Elephas maximus indicus: one gene and its partners. The protein of the gene in region 1 purifies or fractionates together with the protein of each later gene. This does not show direct contact. Links are inferred from orthologs where the notes say so. Each region holds a gene or a part of one and is shown on either strand. Other genes may lie near its edges. The genes, in order: NLRP3, USP50 and NEK7.

Region 1 (3,752 bases):
TGCTGCTAAGGATCAGAGCATTACGATCCATAGGGTTTTCATTGGTTGATTTTCAGAAGTAGATCTCCAGGCTTTTCTTCCTCATCCATCTTAGTCTGGAAGTGCCGCTGAAACCTGTTCAGCTTCATAGCAATACATAAGCCTCCACTGACAGACAGGAAGTGGCTGTGCGTGAGATGCACTGGCCAGGAATCAAACCTGGGTCTTCCGCATGGAAAGGAAAAATTCTACCACTGAACTACCAATGCCTCAGTTACCCTCACATGGAATGACTAAATGTTCTTCTTTTTCCGCTTCATCAAAACCCGTTTACAAGAAAAGCTCTTGTAAATCTTCAGGTAACGTTAAACTATCTTCAAATGTTTAGAGCTGAAGAGTCGTTAGAACTCATCTAATATCTTTCCTTTATAAAAGGATAAACGAAGATCTAGAGTGGCTGGCTTCCTCAAGGCTTAAACGACTAACCAGGAGGTAGGCAGTTCGAATCTGCCAGGCACTCCTTGGAAACTCTATGGGGCAGTTCTACTCTGTTCTATAGGGTCACTATGAGTGGGAATCGACTCAACGCACTGGGTTTTTTTTAAGCGCAGAGCAGCAGTCCTCAAACACATTGGTCTCAAGGCCTCTTTACATGCTCAGAAGTGAGAACTCCAAAGAGATTATAACAATAATATACACATTAACATAAACAATTCATTTTTTTTCATGAAAATGACTATGTTTTCCAAGACAAAAAATATCTAGTGAGAATAGTAACATGGTTTTACATGTTTGCAAATCTCCTTAATGTCTGCCTTAGTAAAAAAGCTGTTGGCTCCTCGGGTCTGCTTCCGCATTCTGTTGACTGCGATACCACATGACATGTAGCCTGTTGAAAATTCCGTTGTGATAGAATGAAAGTGAAAAGATACTGTCTTGGTATTATTGTGAAAATAGCTTCAGGTTTCCTAAAAGGATCCAGAGTTCTACAGGGGTCCCCAGACCACACTTTGAGAGCTGCAAGTCTAGCATAAGCAAGAGGAAGCCTGGAATTCTAGCCTCCTAAATCCCCCTCCCTGGCAATCTACTTCCGAAAATTAGCTAATGAAAATTTTATGGATCACAACAGATTGTTATCCAATATATTGCTGGAAGATGAGCCCCCCTAGGTTGGAAAAGGCACTCAAAATACACAGAAGCTGCAACAATGGATTCGAGCCTGCCAATGATTGTGAAGATAGAGAAGGACTGGGCAACATTTTATTCTGTTGTACACGGTCATCATGAGTCAAAGATGACTCAACAGCAGCTAAAACAATAATAAATCTCCCTCTGGTGCCTTTTACATCCTACTCAACTCTTAGGAGCCCTGGTGGTGCAATGGTTAAGAGCTCACCAGCTAACCAAAAGGTTGCCAGTTCGAATCCACCAGCTGCTCCTTGGAAACCCTATGGGGCTCTACTCTGTCCTGCAGGGTCACTATGAGTTGGAATCAACTTGATGGCAATGGGTTTATTTTTGTTTGGGTTTGGTTTTTAAACTACTATGCTTTATGTTACCTCTTACTTATATAAAAGAATCAAAATTTCTGTTAGGGAGACAACTCAAATGTCCATCAACTGATGAATGGATAAACACAATGAAGTATATCCATACAATGGAATACATTTTGACCATAGAAAGAAATGGAGTACAGACACATTATGACACAGATGAACCTTGAAAGCATGCTGAGTGAAAGAAGGCAGTCAAAAAAAAAAAAATCATGTTATATGATTCCATTTATATGAAGTGTCCAGAGTAGGCAAATGTATAGAGACGGAAAGTAGACTACCTGTTGCCTAGGCCTAGGAGTAGTGGGAAGAGGAGAGTTACTGTTAAAGGATACGCAGTTTCTTTTGGGGGTGATGAAAATGTCCTAAAATTGATTATAGTGATGGTTGCAGAACCCTGTGAATATACTAAAAAGCAGTGAATAGCACATTTTAAATGGGTAGACTTTATGGTACATGAATTATATCTCAATACAACTATTACCAAAAAGAAATTTCAAAATTCTGTTAGAGCTTTATAGAAAAATTTAGAGAATTTTTGGTTAGCAGCTGTAGAACCTAACCACTGCAACATCAGGGTTTCCAGAATTATGAAAGATATATTTAAATGCTGCCACGGACAGTGAAAAGAAACCATGGTCAAAGCCCCAGACATACATCCACATTACTCACATTGCTTGGCACACTGATGGGAGCTGTTCTTTTGGTTTGAACTGTTTCTCACAAGGACAACTCTATGTGGTACGGTCCAGGGTAAAAAACAACAGTGCTATATCTTTAATGCTTTAAGCCAAATAGTTTGGGCCAACCAATGAGTTGAGGGTTTTTAAGGCTTCATTCTATCACTGGGAAGCAGACTAAGGTTACCACAAAGGGGGTGGGGCTTCTGTGCTAAGACCTACAGGTTTCGCTGCCTCTCCCCCGTGTTCCAGCTCTCACCTTCACTCAGTTCCAGTTTCTCCTGTCCCCTGCCTTGGGTCTTCCATGAGCCAAAGATGATGTCCTTTGCTTTAATATAGATGCAAAAGTGCTAAGTCCATACGAGCACCCAGAATCCAGTAGCACATCAAAAGACCAAGGAAAGGGTTGGTGTGCGGTGAGATGGTCAGTTCATTCCAGAGTTGCGAGGATGTTTTACCATGAATTGCTTAACGTGATTCACTATATTAACAGAACAAACAAAAAAAATCAAGCATATGATCATCTCCATATAGGCCATATTAGTTTTCTGCAGCTATCTCAACAAGTTAGCACAAATTTGCTGGCTTACAATAGAAATTTATTATCTTATAGGTTTGGAGACCAGATATTCAAAAGCAAGGTGTCAGCAGGGCCACACTCCCTCCAAAAGCTCTAAAGCAGAATCTTTCCTTGTCTCTTCCAGCTTCTAGTGGCTCCAGGCATTCCTTGGCTTGTGGTTGCATGATTCCAAACCTTGCCTCTAACTTTTCGTGGCCTTCCCTTCTGCATGTTCCAATCTGCCTCTGCCTTTCTCTTATAAGGACACTTGTTATTGGATTTAGGGCCCACTCACATAACCCAGGATGATCTCATTTCAATATCCTTTACTTAATGACATCTGCAAAGACCCTTTTTCCAAAAAAGGTCACATTCACAGGCTCCAGGGGTTAGGACATGGACTGTCTTTCTGGACCCACCATTCAACCCACTACAACATCTGTTATTGATTTTAAAATATTCATGTATTACTGATTTCAAAGCACTCTTAAAAGTAAGATTATATGACCAAGTACATAATGTGACGATACATATACCTTTCACCACCAATAGGTACATGTATCTATTCACTGTTGTGCTGAATGAGAGACACTAGAGGCATCCCAATGAAAGATGGGAATAAGGCTATACACACCACCTCCTCTTACATAATACTGTTCTGGAGATAGTGACCTACACAATTAGATAACAGAGAGAAAAAAGAAATGTAAAAATGTAATGGAGGACATCAAATTATCCTTCTTTTCAGAAGATGTGATTGTTTACTTAAAAAATCTAAATCCTTACAAGAGAATTAACAAAGAAGTTAACAAAAAATAAGAGAATTAAAAATGCAGCTGAGTACAAAATTAATATATAGAAATCAGTAGATTTTATTTATTAAAAACACGAAAAGGTATAAAGGAAGAAAATGTATTTATAATGCCAAACAAAAATTTCAATGTCAAATAGGAAGGGATTTACTTAACAAGAAATGTGGCA
Region 2 (3,752 bases), on another chromosome or scaffold:
ACATCCCCAATGTATAGTTAGGTCGTGAGGAATAGATTAAAATGCAAGCATTCCCACTATAGTTAGGTGGTGAGGATTAGATTAAATGAGGCAATCCTTCCTTTTTTGCTGGGCAAGTAAATTATTGTTAGTAGTAACAATAATAATAGCTAGTAGTTAATTGTAACAATAGCTATCATTTATTGAGCCTAGCATTTTGTTAAATGTTTAACATGCATTTTCCCATTTAATACTTACAACAAATCTATGGGGTAGGTACAATTATTTTTAAGTTTAAATCCCATTTTACAGATGAGGTATCAAAATGGTTTAGTCATTGGCCCCTGCTAACAGTCTAAGGAGTGTGTAGTGGTATATAGAAAGAGGGAATATCTTATCTGTCAGACTGTCAGTCGGTCAGTCTCTCTGTGTATATATCTAAGTTATTTGGATTTATATACAGGCAGTCCCCAGGTTATGAGCGAGATATATTCCTAACTGTGCCTTTAAGTCAAATTTGTAAGTCAGTAACAGGTGCATATGGTTCTTATTTAGCCTTATTGATGATATAAAATGATTTAAAAGCTGCACATACAGCAAGTGAAGGTGATTTGTGATGATGAATTTGTTGCGAGTAGGGGTTGGTTCAGTGTTTCAAAGTGGGGCTTTGAACCAGTTTGGTCCAGTTCGACCACCTGCTGAGAATTTGCCTTTCCACCCCAGGTATACTGAATCTGAATCTTCATTTTAAAAAGATTCTGAGGTGATTCCTATGTCAGAATCTGCATTTTAACAAGTTCCCCAGGTGATTCTTATCTCTAAAATAAGAGTCTATATAAATAAGAATCACCCGGGGATCTTGTTAAACTGTAGATTCTGATTCAGTATATCTGAGTGGAAATGCAGATTCTCAGCAGGCGGTCAAACTGGACCAAACTGGTTCAAAGCCCTGTTTCAAAATGAGGTCAAATTTACATAACTCTAAAAGACAAGTACAAGTTGTCTGCAAGTTGGATGTTTGTAACCCGGGGACTGCCTGTAGCATATATTAAGAGTATCTATCTGTTATGGATTGAACTGTGTCCCCTAAAAATGTATGTCAACTTGGCTAGGCCATGATTCCCACTATTGTGTGGTTATCCATCATTTTGTCATCTGATGTGATTATTCTATGTGTTGTAAATCCTAATCTCTATGATGTTAATGAAGCAGGATTAGAGGCAGTTACGTTAATGAGGCAAGATTCAATCTATAGGATTATGTTGTATCTTTAGTCAATCTCTTTTGAGATACAAAAGACAGTATTAAGCAGAGAGGGGAGGGACCTCATTACCACCAAGAAAGAAGACTCAGGAGTAGAGCGCATCATTTGGACCCAGGCGGGGTCTTCGTGCTGAGAAGCTACTAGACCAGGAGAAAATTGATGACAAGGACCTTCCCCCAGAGCTGACAGAGAGAGAAAGCCCTCCCCTGAAGCTGGCACCCCAAATTTGAACTTCTAGCCTCTTAGACTATGAGAGAATAAATCTTTGTTAAAGCCATCGACTTGTGGTATTTCTGTTACAGCAGCACTGTCTGTCTATCTAAGCTATTTGAATTTATATACAAGCAGTCCCCAGGTTATGAATGGGATCCATTCGTAACTGTGCCTTTAAGTCAAATTTGTAAGTCAGTAACAGGTGCATATGGCTCTTATATAGACTTTAGTGCAAGAAAAGGCTTGACTTGTTTCAATGATTTAAAAGCTGCACATGCAGCAAGTGAAGGTGATTGTGATGAAGAATTTGTTAGATCTATATATATGTATATATATAACATATGTACAAATCAAAAGCGTAATAAAATCCATAGCCGTGGAGTCAATTCCGACTCATAGAGATCCTTTAGGACAGAGTAGAACTGCCCCATAGGGTTTCCAAGGCTGTAAATCTTTACAGAAGCAGACTGCCACAACTTTCTCCCACGAGCAGCTGAGTGCTTAACCACTATGCCACCAGAGCATATATTAAGAGCATATATATATATATATATATATATATATATATACACACACACACATTAAGACTACACACACACCTAGAGGGTCAGAAGGAGAAATAGTAAGAGGATAGATTTAATAAAAAATACATCTCAGTTTAAATTCTGACTCTGCCACTTACCTACTCAAGAGCTCTTATGCCTGTTTATCATCTATAATATAATAATACCACCTGCCGTATAGGGTTGTGAGGATTAAATTAAATGATTCAAGGTACCTGGCACAGATTAAATAATAAATGTCAACATTTGTTTTAAAAGAAGTGGCTGATCTAGGATGTTCTCACAGCTCTGTTTGGCTAGGCCAGGCCTACACAGAGAGAAGAGCACTGAGGTCCCAAGGGCTCCTTCTGCCCCGGCCCCGGGCTCCTACCCTGGCCCAGGGCTTCCTTTTGTCATTTGTCATATTGCTCCAGGCAGCCCAGCAACTTTGTGCTTTCTGATTTTCCTTTCCATGCACAGTATCTAAACGTGGGCCTCCATGAGACATCTGCCTCACCTCAGCACCTCTACTTAAGTTAGCCAGTTGGGAAAGTGCTCAACTTGTACTGTCACAGAAGGCCCTGGGCTGTCACTCTTCAGGAAGCACATGTCTCTATTGCTTAGATATTAGATAACACCTTTCCTTCCTTCTCTGGGGACCTCCCATAGGCCACACCTGGGGAAACCTTCTAAATGCAGCATGTGCCCTCTGACTCCTTGGACCTTGGCTTCTGCCCTGAACAGAGCTTATCTAGAAAGCTGTAGTAGATAGGGGCTCACAGGACGTAGTAGATACCGAAGTCATCTACAGGGAAAGGCCGCTGAGAAGTCATTTTAAAGGAACCACGTCGGACTTTCGCTTTTATTCAGGAGCTACATCTAATCCTTTAAACTTCATTTCTCCGAGCCCGTTTGGCTCTTTTTGTCTGTTTTAAATTCTTCGTCTGCTCCTCTCCCCTTTCAGTAGCTGCAAACTGATTCTCATCTGCACGTTAGGTGCCATTCCAACTTAGATTTTTCCATGAATCATAATCCTCTCCATTCACCCTCAAGATTCTAACTTGTTGCTATGAGCTACTGTGACCTGGCTGTTCGAAATGCTTTAAAAAGATTCGATTTCAGAGGATAAACTGTACACACAACCTTTTCCTCCATCACGCATTTCCGTTGTGTACAGCGTGTAAACAGACGCGGTTCCCAGGTAAACAAATTTCTCCCTTGCTTCCTTTTACTTATCTGGGGAAACACTAGGAAACTGCATTTGCTTCCCATATTGCCACTTTTCAAGACACAAGACGAGTAGGCTAACCCAGTAAACATAGAAAGACTCCAGCCTATGCTTAGATTTTGAGATTTTGCTGGATGCACAGGGCCAAGAGTTGAAAAAGCACTTTGTTCCATTAAAAACATTTTTAATTAAAAATTGATGTGGGTACAAAAATCAAACAAGACAGAAACACAGTAAAAATGAAGTCCTTTCCTTCACCTTTCTATCCAACCCTTTTCTCTCCAGAGACCATACCTCTGTCCCTTCTCTTTCCCACCCTCCCCAGAGAAAATCACGGTCTCTAACTGGTATATATCATTCTCAGTTACTACTTATGCATGTCTTCACAAACAAAATACACATCTTGTGTCTTTACAATGTTTCCATAAATACAGGTTTCTTGTTTTTGACAATATCCTGTGCTTATGTAAGATCATCATGGAGGACGTGGGGTTAAGGGCACATGGGAGCCCTTGGTTATTTTTGC
Region 3 (3,752 bases), on another chromosome or scaffold:
GCGGGCAGGTGCTGCTCGGCCTCCACGCATCCTTCGAGGGGTACGTTCTCTTCCTTCTCCGAGCCTACGGCCCGGGCAGGAAGTACCCGCCCCAGCGAGCGAGGAACCGGGTGTCCTCGCCGCCAATTGGCCGTGAAAGCCGTCAGTGTGGCGGTGGGCGGAGTCTCCAGCTGGAAAGCGGAATTTAGGCCCGCAAGCTCCCGGAGGGTCCCCGGGCTTCCCGACCCCGCAGAGAAAGCAGTCAGCCTCCGCGAAGACTTCCCTGGCCTTCTTATTTCGCCAGTAGTCCTCTGACCGCCCCATACAGTTTTTGCCCCTTTGACTCCTCCATGAGGAAAAGCTTTTTCAAAGCTTCAATAACTTTCCCCACCACAACAAGCTTCCAACCACAACAAGCTTCCAGACCAGGGCTAAATAGAGGACGCTGCGGTTTTATGAGCGAAGCAAACTGCGGACTGGATCTCCTCGAGTATAGCAGCGGATTCATTCCTCTGCAAATGGAATAACTGCTACGTTTTAGGTTAACCTTTTCACCAGGTGTTACAGCCAAGATTACTCAGTGTCCATCGGCAAGAGCTGTCACAAAGCATCACAGGGTTAACTGTGTATCCTGGGTTACCATCCACCGTTTGCAGCGTGTATCGGGTTGTAGCAAACATACCGTCAAGTTTTTGAGTACAACTTCGACCACACCAGCAGCACACGGTCCTTAACAGAACAGATTTATAACACACATAATCTGTACTACACTCTGCACTGCAACCTGACAAGACATATTGCTGTCACCTGTTGAGGCTGCAATTCCTTGGATGAGGAATTAGAAACATTGGTTCTCATAATGACAGGCACACAATGCTCTACTAATTGTGGGCACTTAATGTTTTTTTGGGTTAATGTTTTCAACTGCACCCGTAAGATCAGTCGTCTTAGAGAAGGAGGAAAATCATTTCATTTCTGTAGTACATTTCTGATGTTGTGTTCAGTCAACACACTACTCAAGGAAGGAAGTGCCTGCTCTAAAATTAGTATGTTTTTAGTACTTATCCGTAACAAGGACGACAGCGATGAGAGAACACGACTCATCTGATACATCATCTTCCAAGGCCTACAGCATAAAGGAAGGAGGCGACAGTTCTTCAAACCTCACCGTGGCATACTTTACGTTGTGTTCGCTTCCTGGTTTTTATCCTTTGGGCTCCCGTTCATTTCTCTGGCTTTGGCCTCTATTTTCAATTTCCCTCTCTCTCTTCCATTGCCACCACCATCACCTATGTTCGCTACTGCCTGGCAATCTCCCTCTCCGAGATTTTCTAATCCTGAATCTCCATAAAACTCATTCTCTGAAGGGTCTATCATCACCCCTACTCCAAACCCCCCCCCCCCCACAAGTACTTCTCAAGCCACTTCGGATTCTCCCCTATCAACATCGTTCCCACTAACCACTCAACAGTGAGCTTCACTTTCCCGAGTCGGGCTGCTGCCGAATTCTGGCAGCTGGACCTAGCCAATCCGTGAGGGATAAATAACCAGAGCCACCAATGAGCACCCGCCGGGAGGCAGGAGGCGGGACTTCGCCTAAGTTCCTCTGGTCCTGAAACCAAAGACCTGTTGCCGCCGCTGCCGCGGTGGCCGCGGAGTTTCTGAGTTACCGCGGCGCCCACGGAGGCCTCGAGCCGTCAGAGCCCGCGGCAGGCATGAAGTTCCTACCGCTCGCTCCCACCACTGCCAACGAGCAGGACTGAAACCCCACCCGGCTCGAGAGCAGCTAGCCCCACCCCAGCTCGCCAGGCGGGGGATCCCGGAGGCCGCCCGCGCAGTCCCGACCCTCCTCTCCCGTCCCGGCTGCCGCAGGCAGCCCCACCCGGCCGGGATCGCCGGCCCGGGCGCCGAAGCCCCGAAGAGCGACTCACCAGGAAGTTGGCAGTTTTCCGTTCTCCTTCCCGCGAGGAATCCGGGGCGGGCGGGCGGCTCGGTCAGGCGCCGCCGCGGAGAGGCACGCCGGGCCGGGGGCTGTGCCTGCAAGGCCCGGAACCGATCGACCACCTCCCGCCGCGCCGCCCCCGCGGACGCTGCAGGCGCGGGCACCCCCCTGCGCTCGGCGAGGCGCGTCCAGAGTGCGAGCCTAGCGGCGACCCATCCTCCGGCGGCTCCCGCTGCTCCGCCCGCGGCCGCCGCTGTCAGGAGGATAAACATCCCGGCATCCCCGAGGAGGGGGCGGGGCGGGCGCTGGCCCCTCCCCGCGCGCCGCGCCGCGCCGCCCGCCCCGCCGGCCGCCGGCCCCAGCTGGGCGCCCTCCGCGGGCCGGTCTGGGGGCCGGGGGAGCCCGCCGACTTTCCAGTCCTGGGCTGAAGCACCTCTGGAGGAGCCCCTTCGGGCATATTGTTTCCTGTTGTCAGGCCTAGCCCGGTGTGGGAGTGTCCTTCTGCCCCCATAGTCCTCTTCTGCTTGGGACCAACTTCGCGGGGATCCCAGGATCCGCTGCTGTTTAAGAAATTGTTTCTTCCTCCTTTATATTTAAATGCCCCACTTGCAGGCAGCAAACCAAATCGGTTATCCTCGCTTCTTCTGGATCACAGCGTTTTGATCCTATCGTCCTTAACCGAGTGGCTTAAACTGCCTCTGTGCTTAAATATGTGTGCAAGAAAATGAGGGGAATAAGGCGTTTTCCTAAGTCTGGCTAAGCAAACCTTGTATTAACGGAAGAGTCCCAGCATAGACGACAGTGGCTTTTAGGACATTTCTGAAACGTGAATTGCCTGGTATGGTATCAGAGATTTTGATATATGCCCCCCAGAACCATAGCAGATGGTTGCTAAAGGATTGCTTAGAGCCCAGTGACCTCAGTACTTCAGTAACCTCACTGGCTCTACAGAAGGAGACTGCTAGGAGGCAGTATGGAGTCAGCCACACCGAACTCTCCTAGTCTCAGTACCTTTGTCTGTAAAAGGAGAATAGTATCTATGTATAGGTTCCTCATGAGCACAATTAAATGTTCTGGAATTACCATTCTCTCCAATGTTATCCATAATTTGTTGTGATCCACAAATTCAAATGCCTTTGCATAGTTAGCAAAACACAGGTAAACATCTTTCCGCTAGCCTCTGCTTTCAGCCAAGATGCATCTGACATCAACAATGATATGCCTACTTCCACATCCTCTTCTGAATCTGGCCTGAATTATATTAATGATATCATTTGATAATTTCCACATTCTGTTGAATTACCTTTCTTTGAAATGGGCATAAATATGGATGTCTTACTGTATGGTTTAAAATCGGGAAAGGTGTGCATCAGGGTTGTATCATTTCACCATATTTGTTCAGTCTGTATGGTGAGCAAATAACCGATGAAACTGGGCTATATGAAGAAGAATGAAGCATCAGGATTGGAGGAAGACTCGTTAACCACCTGCATTATGCAGATGACACAACCTTGCTTGCTGAAAGTGAAGAGGTCTTGAAGCACTTACTGATGAAGGTCCAAGACTACACCCTTCAGTAGGGATTACATCTCAACATAAAGAAAACAAAAATTCTCATACCTGGGCCAATAAGCAACATCATGATACATGGAGAAAAGATTGAAGTTGTCAAGGATTTCATTTTACTTGGATCCACAGTCAATGCCCATGGCAGCAGCAGTCAATTCAAATGATGTATTGCATTGGGCAAATCTGCTGCAAAAGATTTCTTTAAAGGATTAAAAAGCAAGGATGTCACCTTGAGGACTAAGGTGCATCTGACCCAAGCCAT

The links.
Region 2: the proteins of NLRP3 (region 1) and USP50 purify together in Homo sapiens (affinity purification with western blotting; 3 studies listed by BioGRID). This does not show direct contact. The link is inferred for Elephas maximus indicus from reciprocal best matches to the Homo sapiens genes NLRP3 and USP50.
Region 3: the proteins of NLRP3 (region 1) and NEK7 purify together in Homo sapiens (affinity purification with western blotting; 9 studies listed by BioGRID and IntAct, with this or other methods). This does not show direct contact. The link is inferred for Elephas maximus indicus from reciprocal best matches to the Homo sapiens genes NLRP3 and NEK7.

Annotation. Positions count from the first base shown.
Region 1 is NC_064820.1:233,753,150-233,756,901, reverse strand, and holds the start of NLRP3 (NACHT, LRR and PYD domains-containing protein 3), read right to left. Parts: upstream 2,694-3,752; 5' UTR 2,472-2,693; intron 1-2,471. UniProt on the Homo sapiens protein: Sensor component of the NLRP3 inflammasome, which mediates inflammasome activation in response to defects in membrane integrity, leading to secretion of inflammatory cytokines IL1B and IL18 and pyroptosis.
Region 2 is NC_064830.1:51,392,835-51,396,586, forward strand, and holds the start of USP50 (inactive ubiquitin carboxyl-terminal hydrolase 50), read right to left. Parts: upstream 2,832-3,752; coding exon 2,779-2,831; intron 1-2,778. UniProt on the Homo sapiens protein: Deubiquitinating enzyme that removes conjugated ubiquitin from specific proteins to regulate different cellular processes. Regulates the inflammasome signaling pathway by deubiquitinating 'Lys-63'-linked polyubiquitination of the PYCARD/ASC adapter protein.
Region 3 is NC_064836.1:5,886,668-5,890,419, reverse strand, and holds the start of NEK7 (serine/threonine-protein kinase Nek7), read right to left. Parts: upstream 2,177-3,752; 5' UTR 1,911-2,176; intron 1-1,910. UniProt on the Homo sapiens protein: Protein kinase which plays an important role in mitotic cell cycle progression. Required for microtubule nucleation activity of the centrosome, robust mitotic spindle formation and cytokinesis.